Linked DNA regions of Macaca mulatta. The protein of the gene in region 1 interacts with the protein of each later gene in a pairwise test. Links are inferred from orthologs where the notes say so. Each region holds a gene or a part of one and is shown in the gene's direction. Other genes may lie near its edges. The genes, in order: PLEKHF2 and MEAF6.

What was found.
Region 2: the proteins of PLEKHF2 (region 1) and MEAF6 interact in binary tests that used the Homo sapiens proteins (3 or more experiments, as listed by UniProt). The two-hybrid records come from large-scale screens. The link is inferred for Macaca mulatta from reciprocal best matches to the Homo sapiens genes PLEKHF2 and MEAF6.

The regions. Positions count from the first base shown.
Region 1 is NC_133413.1:105,528,176-105,532,561, forward strand, and holds the start of PLEKHF2 (pleckstrin homology domain-containing family F member 2), read left to right. Parts: upstream 1-1,287; 5' UTR 1,288-1,508; intron 1,509-4,386. UniProt on the Homo sapiens protein: May play a role in early endosome fusion upstream of RAB5, hence regulating receptor trafficking and fluid-phase transport. Enhances cellular sensitivity to TNF-induced apoptosis.
Region 2 is NC_133406.1:203,284,188-203,288,439, forward strand, and holds the start of MEAF6 (chromatin modification-related protein MEAF6), read left to right. Parts: upstream 1-1,346; 5' UTR 1,347-1,367; coding exon 1,368-1,457; intron 1,458-2,554; coding exon 2,555-2,670; intron 2,671-4,252.

The DNA.
Region 1 (4,386 bases):
TCCCCACTGATAGATATTCTGTGCATGTAGAGGTGAATGAGGTAGAATGATGGTACAGACAAGCGACTGGCCCTGGCGACTTCCGTACTCATCTAGAGACAACTCTAACACACGAAAGATTGTGTGTGTGTGATCATACAACTTTCCCCATTTAAAAAAAGTTCATCTTTGCCAATTTTGTTCTAATTATTAATTAAAGAAAAAAAAGACTTGTTTCAGAGACAAACTCTATTGAAATAGAGGAGGATGGGAGGCAGCAAGCCTGGAGGAGGAGGATCCCAGGTGGAACAGCAGGGCGGAACCCAAGTCTGCTCTCTTCCCTAGGTGCTCATCCACGTGCAGCTTGGCTGGTAGTGACTCTAATTCAACAGCAATCAAACGCAGGTTAAAACAACTTACTGAAATAATAGATGAATAAGAAATATAAAATTTACCAAAACTCAATTTTCTCCTACACACCACACACACTTTGTTTAAAATAAGTATGCTGTTCTCCCCACCTCGCCCCCATCCCTGGTCTACCCTAAGCAACTTCTTTACCTCTCCACGCACCCACCAGAGCAATTAGCTATCAGATTAATTAGGGCACATTTAACCTTATATACTATGCTATAATTACAGTTTCTAGGTATGTGAAGTAGGCTGATGGGGTTTTGTGTCGTCAAAGTTTTGGAAAGACCAGAATTCTAAAGTATGCATTTAAAAGAAAGGGCTGGCTGGAGCACGTGGGGTATGTGTGTGTCGCCGCAGTTCCCTAGGTTTCAAGAGGAGGGATTTTAGGTAAAGCAAAGGGAAAGTGTGACGGGAAGGATTACTGTGCTAAATGGGAGCAGCAAATGCCAGTACCGACGCCTTTGGGCATCTAAATCCAAAGCCTGCCTTTCTTGTTCTTCAGTTCCCTGGGGAGGCCTGCTGTGGGTGGGGAGGTGTCTTCCTTCTATTCTTCCAGTCTCCCTAAGAACTTGGTAGACAGTTGAGCAATACTTTCTAAGGGCTGGTCGGAGTCAGGAAAGTCAGGTAAGGCGCCCCACGTGCACCTCAACGCGTCGCGGGAGCGCGTCCAGACATCACACATGCACAAGCTCCGCCCGCGGCAGGCCTGGGTGGGTGTGGCCTCCGCCAAAGGCCCCGCCCCTAGAGCGCGTCGCGCGAGGGGCGGGGCGAGGGAACTGGCAAGAAAGGGCGGGGAGCGAGCGGTGTGGGTGTGCTCGTGACCGCGCGCTCGCGCCCGGAGTGTGGGCGGGGGCGCGCCCGTGCGCGCGCAGGGGAGAGGCCAGCCCAGGCAGCCGTTGTCGGGTTCGACTGGAGGGGCGGGGGAGTCACCTGCGAGCGGCTGCGCTGGCGTCCCGCCCGCCCAGCGCGTCTGGATCGCGCCGGCTGAGCGGGGCTGCGGACCGCACACACCCTGGGAGGCCCGGGCGGGGAACGGGCAGAGTCCGCGCCCTGCGTCCGCGACCAGGAGAATCGGACCTTCGCCTTCGCTGCCGCCGCCGCCCGCGGCCGTCGGGGTAGGTGAAGCCCGAGTGGGTGGTCCGCCGGCTCCTGGCTGGCCGGGAGAGGAGACGTGAAACTTTCCGGGCGCTTCCTCCCGCGGTCCCGGAGCCGTCGCGGCGCTGGGAGGTGTCGTCGTCGCGGGCGGTGGCGGCCGACGCCATGTTGGGGTCTGTGAGAAACGGGGCGCTCCCAGCCGCTCCCCTCTCGCCGGGGCCGGCCCGCAGGCCAGTCGCCGCCGCCGTCCCGCCAGCCCGGGAGCAACCCGCGCCCGCCCGCAGGACGCCGCCGCCGCCGCGGGGAAACGGGGGCCGCCGGGGAGGGTCCGGTCCACGGGTCTGCGGGGCGGGGGCCGGCGGACGCGGGAAGAAGCCCCGAGGCCGGGCGAGAAGTTTTGGCGCCTGGGGACGGGGGTCCCGGACACGGCCGGGGGCGTCTCAGGGTCGCAACAAATTTCTGTCCGAAAAGTTTGCAGGGTCTGCATGTTGGGGACATTGTGACCTGAACTACATATTTGTATGTCAATTGGGAGAAAAAAATGGCCCCGCAGAACTTGCTGTGATAGAAGCGATGGTTTATTTGGAGCCTTTTAAAGTTTTATGATCCTTTGCCGAATTTATTTTTCTTTTTAAAAACGTGATTGAAGGCCGAGAGCGCGCTGCTGGTGTTGCTTGAATAGCCTTGTGTGCTCTCCGTACATTCCAGCAATAACTTGAGTGTGCGGTGGAAGTGGGTATGAAGGTTACAGACACCTAAGCCCTCCTCGGTAATTCATAGACTCACAAAACACGTTGTTGATAAATGCCTTCTTTGTCGTGTTGTGTAGTACGTTGCTGAAGAGACTCATTAAAGAAAAATTTAGACACTAACTTTGAGAGTCTTAAAGGCATGTGTTCTTTTAAGAATAAGGAGAAGTGATCCTGACAGTTTGAAGTTTTTTTCCCCTCCCTTTAGTTTCTTAAGGGTGAATGCCTACCGTGTTTTGAGCATTTACCTTTTTTTAATACTCTGGTAGCTCGTGGGGTCTTCACGTTAATTCAGTATTAACGAAGGCTTCATTATAATCTCTTTGGGTCCCGACCGCACAGGGGGTGAATGGTATTAAGCTATTTATTTGGAAAGCACACGTAATTGGCCTCTAAATAAAAGTAGTGTAGTGACTAAGCATCAAAAGAAAAGATTCAGCTTCAGTAACTGAATCTAAATGATTTTTAAATGAAGACATCTTGCTTTAAAATTCTGTTAAATGAACTGAAAAGCCTCTTAAATACAGTAAGCCCTAAAACCCCAAGTTCTTGGAGAATTTTACTTTTTAGATCTAAAAATACAGCTTCTGCTCATATTTGATTGTCAATTTCTTTTTCCTTTTTTCTTCCTTCCTTTTCCTTTTCCTAGACAGGGTCTCTCTGTCGCCCAGGCTGGAGTGCAGTGGTGTCATCTCGGCTCACTGCAGCCTCCACCTCCGGGGCTCAGGTGATCCACCTCGGCCTCCTGAGTAGTTAGGAATACAGGCGCGCATCACCACACCTGGCTAATTTTTGTTTGAATTTTGTGGAGACAGGGTTTTGCCATGTTGCTCAGGCTCTATTGCCAGTTTCTGTTGTTCTTAAGAATTCTTTTAGCTTTGCTTCATTGTCAAGTAAATGCCATTATAATATTTATTTTTTATTTAGAAATGAAATAAACTAATTTCACAAATGTAGCAGCCAAGCTGGTATTTAACTGGGATCTTATGACTCTGAAACCTTTTCATTTTTCCTATAGCATAACTTTGTAGGATACATAACTCAGTTTTCTGGAGCAATCTGTCGATCTCGTTTGCTCTTATCACTGCTCTGACTTGAATTTGGTTCTTCAGTATACTTATTTCCCAGCGAGCTGATTTACAGGTGATCCTTGTGATGAAATTTTTCCTTAAAAATACTTAAGCCTATACTCTTTGAAGCCTTTTCTGCTCTGTTCTCTCATTCCACTCCCTTTCTCTCCCCAGAAATCAATTAATTTCTCCCATGGTATTACTGTAAATATCGCATAGATCTGTCATGACATCTCCGTGACAGCAGGCAACACATCGGGGCTGATTTGCCTCTTCATTCCCTGTATGCCAAGAACATAGCAGATGCTCAGGAAAGGTTTGAATGGATGAGTACACATATGTTTGTTCCTTGTAAATATGCTTCATGAATTTCTTATGAAATTGTAAATTCCATGAGCATCATAGTTAAATCTTCTTTGTAGCCTTTTTCCCAGTACATGCCATCAACTCCATTAAATCCACAAATTGGTTTATTTTATATATATATATCTACACACACACACGCACATATATATATATATATATATATATATATATATATATATATATATATGTTTTGTTGTTGTTTTGTTGATAATTTACCTCAGTAACTGAGTGAATTTTGACCTGGGAGTACAGAACTTGAATATTTATGAAATTTCTAAGTAGATAATGGAGTAAAGTATAATTACTGATGTATGAGAGAGAAACCATGGGTCATCAAAAGGATTATAATCATAATTTTAAGTGTGATTGAATGTATTTGAACTTGATGGAAATACTGTTAATGCTTGAAAATTTTAAAGGTCATATTTGTACATTTAAGCTCTTGGAACAAATCCCATATAGCTCTATCAAGTATTGTTTTGCCGGAATTGTCTTAGAAGTTTTAGAATGCTCTGCTTAATAGAAAGTATATGAAATTTTTTTTTCTGTTATTTATCTTTGATGAACCAGCTTTGTACATGAGCTGCCCGCTTATATTTAAAAGCAATGTATGGGTTGACTTAACTGAATTAAAAATACTTGATGGATACACTTTCACAGTGCTGTTTTAAGTTGGAAAACCTCTCTAGGTTAAGGTGTTTTGTAATTCTGTA
Region 2 (4,252 bases), on another chromosome or scaffold:
AGAAAAAAAAAAACGCCCCATTTGCAGATGAAATTATCTATGTAAAAAATTCCAAGGAATCTATACAAAACCCCCCTAAAATTAGTAAGGAAGTTCAGCAAGATGGCAGGTTACAAGATCCGCACACGAAACCAGTTATTCAGAATGCAGCACAGAGGGACAAAAAGATAGAAAATATAGACGGTAGGTTAAAAATAAAGGTTTCTTATGTTCGAGTTCCAGAAAGAGAGAGAATATGAGACAGGCATCTGAAGAAAAATGACTGCGATTTCCCAAAACTGGTGGAAGATACCAACCCACAGATTATAGAAATCCAAAGACTTCCAAGCAAGAAACAAAACAAAAAGAAAAAATATCCCACTTAGACTTATGATAGCGAAATTGCAGAAGAGTGAAAGATGGAGAGCTGAGGAGGGAGAAATCAACAGGGGCCAAGTGAAAACAACGTCTACACCTTGGACTTAACGATAAAAGCGAATTCGTACTTGCAGAGTCATTGGCACCTGCCAAACCCCTTACACACATTAGCTGATTTACTCCTCACAGCAACTGTATTAAGTAGATTCTATCACTGCTTTCATTTTACAGATGAGGGAGTTGAGATTTGGTTATTTACCCAAAGGGGCACACTTTATCGATGTAGCGATAGGATTTTGAACAAGGTAGTTCTCGCTCCAGTTTTGTGCCCTTAACCACTACACATACTTGTTTCTCCAAAGGGCAATGGGAAAATGGGAAGCCACTGAAAGGCTTTAAACAGGGGAGTGATAACATTTGTTTCTGGAAGATTCCGGCACCACTGTGGATAGTGGATTAAATGGGGCTAAAGGTGGAAATAAAGAAGCTGTTGGAATAACGTAGCCCCAAACAGGGAGGGCCTGAATGAACTAAGAAGGTGGCAAAAGGCGCAGGCACAAGCAAATGGATTCGCGAGCTCTTCCGGAGTCGAATCCACAGGGCTTGACCTGGTATCGCGTTTTACTCCGGGTGCAGAGTGAGGAAAACCGGGTTTCTGACGCAGGCAATTGCGGTGGATAGTGAAAGTCATTCACTGAAGTGGACTGAGGCGGGACGCACAGGAGACTCGGAGGCCTGAGGACGAGCTAGGCTTTGGACACGGTAGATTTGTGGCGTCTGTAAAGCCCGCGGCCAGCCGAGGGGCAGGAAACGGCGTAAAGGGCAGAGCAGAAGCCGACTCTCTGGACCTCTCCGAGAAGGATCGTCCAGAGTCCCGGCCGCAGAGCACCTCTGCGCGGCGCTGCACGCGTCTCCGGAAGCCGCGCGCGCAGGCGCAGTGCGGGGGGCGCCCCCTGGCGGCGCAGGGACCGCCCCCAACCTCGCGCCGCCGCCGCCCGCCTCAGCCCAACATGGCGATGCACAACAAGGCGGCGCCGCCGCAGATCCCGGACACCCGGCGGGAGCTGGCGGAGCTCGTGAAGCGGAAGCAGGAGTTGGCGGTGAGGGGCTAGGACCGGGGTTGCCCGGCATGGGGCTCCGCGCCCGCCCCGCCTCCAGGCCCCAAGCCCGGCTGCGCCAGGCCGTTCGTTACTCCGGGGGCGCGGCGCGGCGGGCTGTGTGCTCGGCGGCCTGAGGCCGGGTGCGCATTCTGCGGCCCGCCGGCGGTTCAGCTTCCCGGCTGTGCGAATCCGGAGCCGGGAGGGAGCTGGGAGCGCGGGAGGGGGAGGGGCAGCGGCAGCCGCAGGAGGGGGCGTGGAGGGAGGACGGTGCCGGGGCTCGGGACTCGGGGAGAGGGCGCTAGGAAGGGCGAGGCGGGCGAGTCCGTGATCTTTGCGGGGTGGGGGTGGGGTAGGAGGCTAGTGTGGGAGGGGGACCGAGTCACCCTGTCTGGACTTTGGAGGATGGTGGGGAGCGTGTTCTTTTTGGTACTAGTAGTAGATCCGTTGAATGGAGGCTTTTGATAGACAGGGTTGTGATGTGTTTGGGAATATCTAGAAGGTGACAGGCGAGGGAGAAGAACACATTCTGGAGAATTCGGAATTGTGACAGGCACCCAAGGCCCAATGCACCCTGGTGGCTAAGCTCTTCCTGCCCTCACGTCTCGGCTTGGGCACCCCGGAGGCCCCTCTCACCTGAAGCTGCCCTTCCAGGTTTCCATAGCAACTGGCAGCCCGGTGCCGGCGGCCTCTCTGAGCCTGCGGGGAGGGGAGCGAGTTGACGCTGAAAGGCTGCTCACCCTTCCCTCTCCTGGTAGCGATACCTTTTGTGCGTGGGAGTGGATATCGCACAAGTTCTGCGTTAGCCTGGGTTCTTGACTCCTGGTTTCCGTGAATCCTCTAAAGTATATGCAAAATTTCGCGTGTGTGTGTATTTTTCTGGGGACATGCTTTATACATTCAGAGGTCCATCACACCCAAAGGTCTAGACTGTCTTAGTCCTAAACGGCTGCTCCTCCCCATATCATCCATCTCTCCACAGGGTGATTTAGTGTGGACAAGCTTGCGTTTACAAATCTAATATCAGGATTTCATTTTGGTCAGACTTAAGTGTTTGCATTTAAAAGGCATTATTCATGTCCTTGTTTTTCATCTCTCAGGAAACACTGGCAAACTTGGAGCGACAGATCTATGCTTTTGAGGGAAGCTACCTGGAAGACACTCAGATGTATGGCAATATTATTCGTGGCTGGGATCGGTATCTGACCAACCAAAAGTGAGTGTCGAAAGCCTGTAGTGTTCCTATTGTGTTCCTATTGTGTGTGTTTGTAGGACTGTAGGCTCTTAGTAGCAAGTTTGCTAGAGGCAGTAGTAAAGTGGTGGTGTGGTCTGGACTTGAACTCTTGGACTCTGGCTCAGGCACTGCCTCACTGAATAATCTTAGACAAAGCTCACATCTGTAAAATAGCAAAAGTTGGGCCTTTGGCACAGGGTTGTGTGAGGCTTAAATACAGCATATAACAATATCTTTATACAACATCACTCTATTAAATTTTTTACACATTTTAATCAGTCGTGAGTTCTACCCTCACAGTATTTTTCTTTTCTTTTTTTCTTTTTCCTCCTGAGTAGCTGGGATTACAGGCGCATGCCACCATGGCTGGCTAATTTTTTTATTTTTAGTAGAGACGAGGTTTCTCCATGTTGGCCCAGCTGGTCTTGAACTCCTGACCTCAGGTGATCTGCTGCCTTGGCCTCCCAAAGTGCTGGGATTATAGGTGTGAGCCACCATGCCTGGCCACTTTTCTTTTTTCTAAGAGACAGGGTCTCATGCTGTTGTCCAGGCTGGAGTGCAGTAGCACAATCTTAGCTCACTGCAGCCTCAAACTCCCGGGCTGAAATGATCCTCCCACCTCAGCCTCTCAATTAGCTGGGACTACAGGCACACAATACTGCACCTGACTAATTAAAAACATTTTTTTTTTTTGTAGAAGTGGGGTCTCACTTTGTTGCCCAGGCAGGCCTGGAACTCCTGGTTTCAAGCAGTCCTCCTGCCTCAGGTTCTCAAAGTGTTGGAATTAAAGGGGTGAGCCACCACGCCCAACTGACCCTCACAATTTTTGCCATACCTGTGTGCCAGCTGTACCACTGCTTGCTTAGTAATATTTTTAAAAAATTTCTAAACTTTTGGATTATCTTCAAGTTATAGAAAAATGGGAAGAATAGTATATGAACACTTGATACTGTCCTACCTGTATTCAGATTGTTAATGTGTTGTGACATTTGCTTTCTCTTACTCTCTATAATATTAATATAAGCACACACCTATATTTACATTTCACGTTTTTAAATTGTGAAATAATTATAGATTCATAGGGAGTTGGCAGAATGGTCTTTTGTAGTCTTCATCTAGTTTTCCCCAATAGGTGTTTTTTTTTTTTTTTTTTTTTTTTTTTTTTGAGACGGAGTCTCACGCTGTTTCCCAGGCTGGAGTGCAGTGGCGCGATCTCGGCTCACTGCAAGCTCCGCCTCCCGGGTTCCCGCCATTCTCCTGCCTCAGCCTCCTGAGTAGCTGGGACTACAGGCACCCGCCACCGCGCCTGGCTAATTTTTTGTATTTTTAGTAGAGACGGGGTTTCACTGTGGTCTCGATCTCCTGACCTTGTGATCCGCCCGCCTCGGCCTCCCAAAGTGCTGGGATTACAGGCTTGAGCCACCGCGCCCGGCCAATAGGTGTGTTTTATATAACTCTAATACAGTATCAAAGCCAGGAAATTGACGTTGGTACAATGTATATATATAGTTCTATGTCACTTTATCTTGTGTGTAGATTCATGTGACCACAATCAAGTTACTTC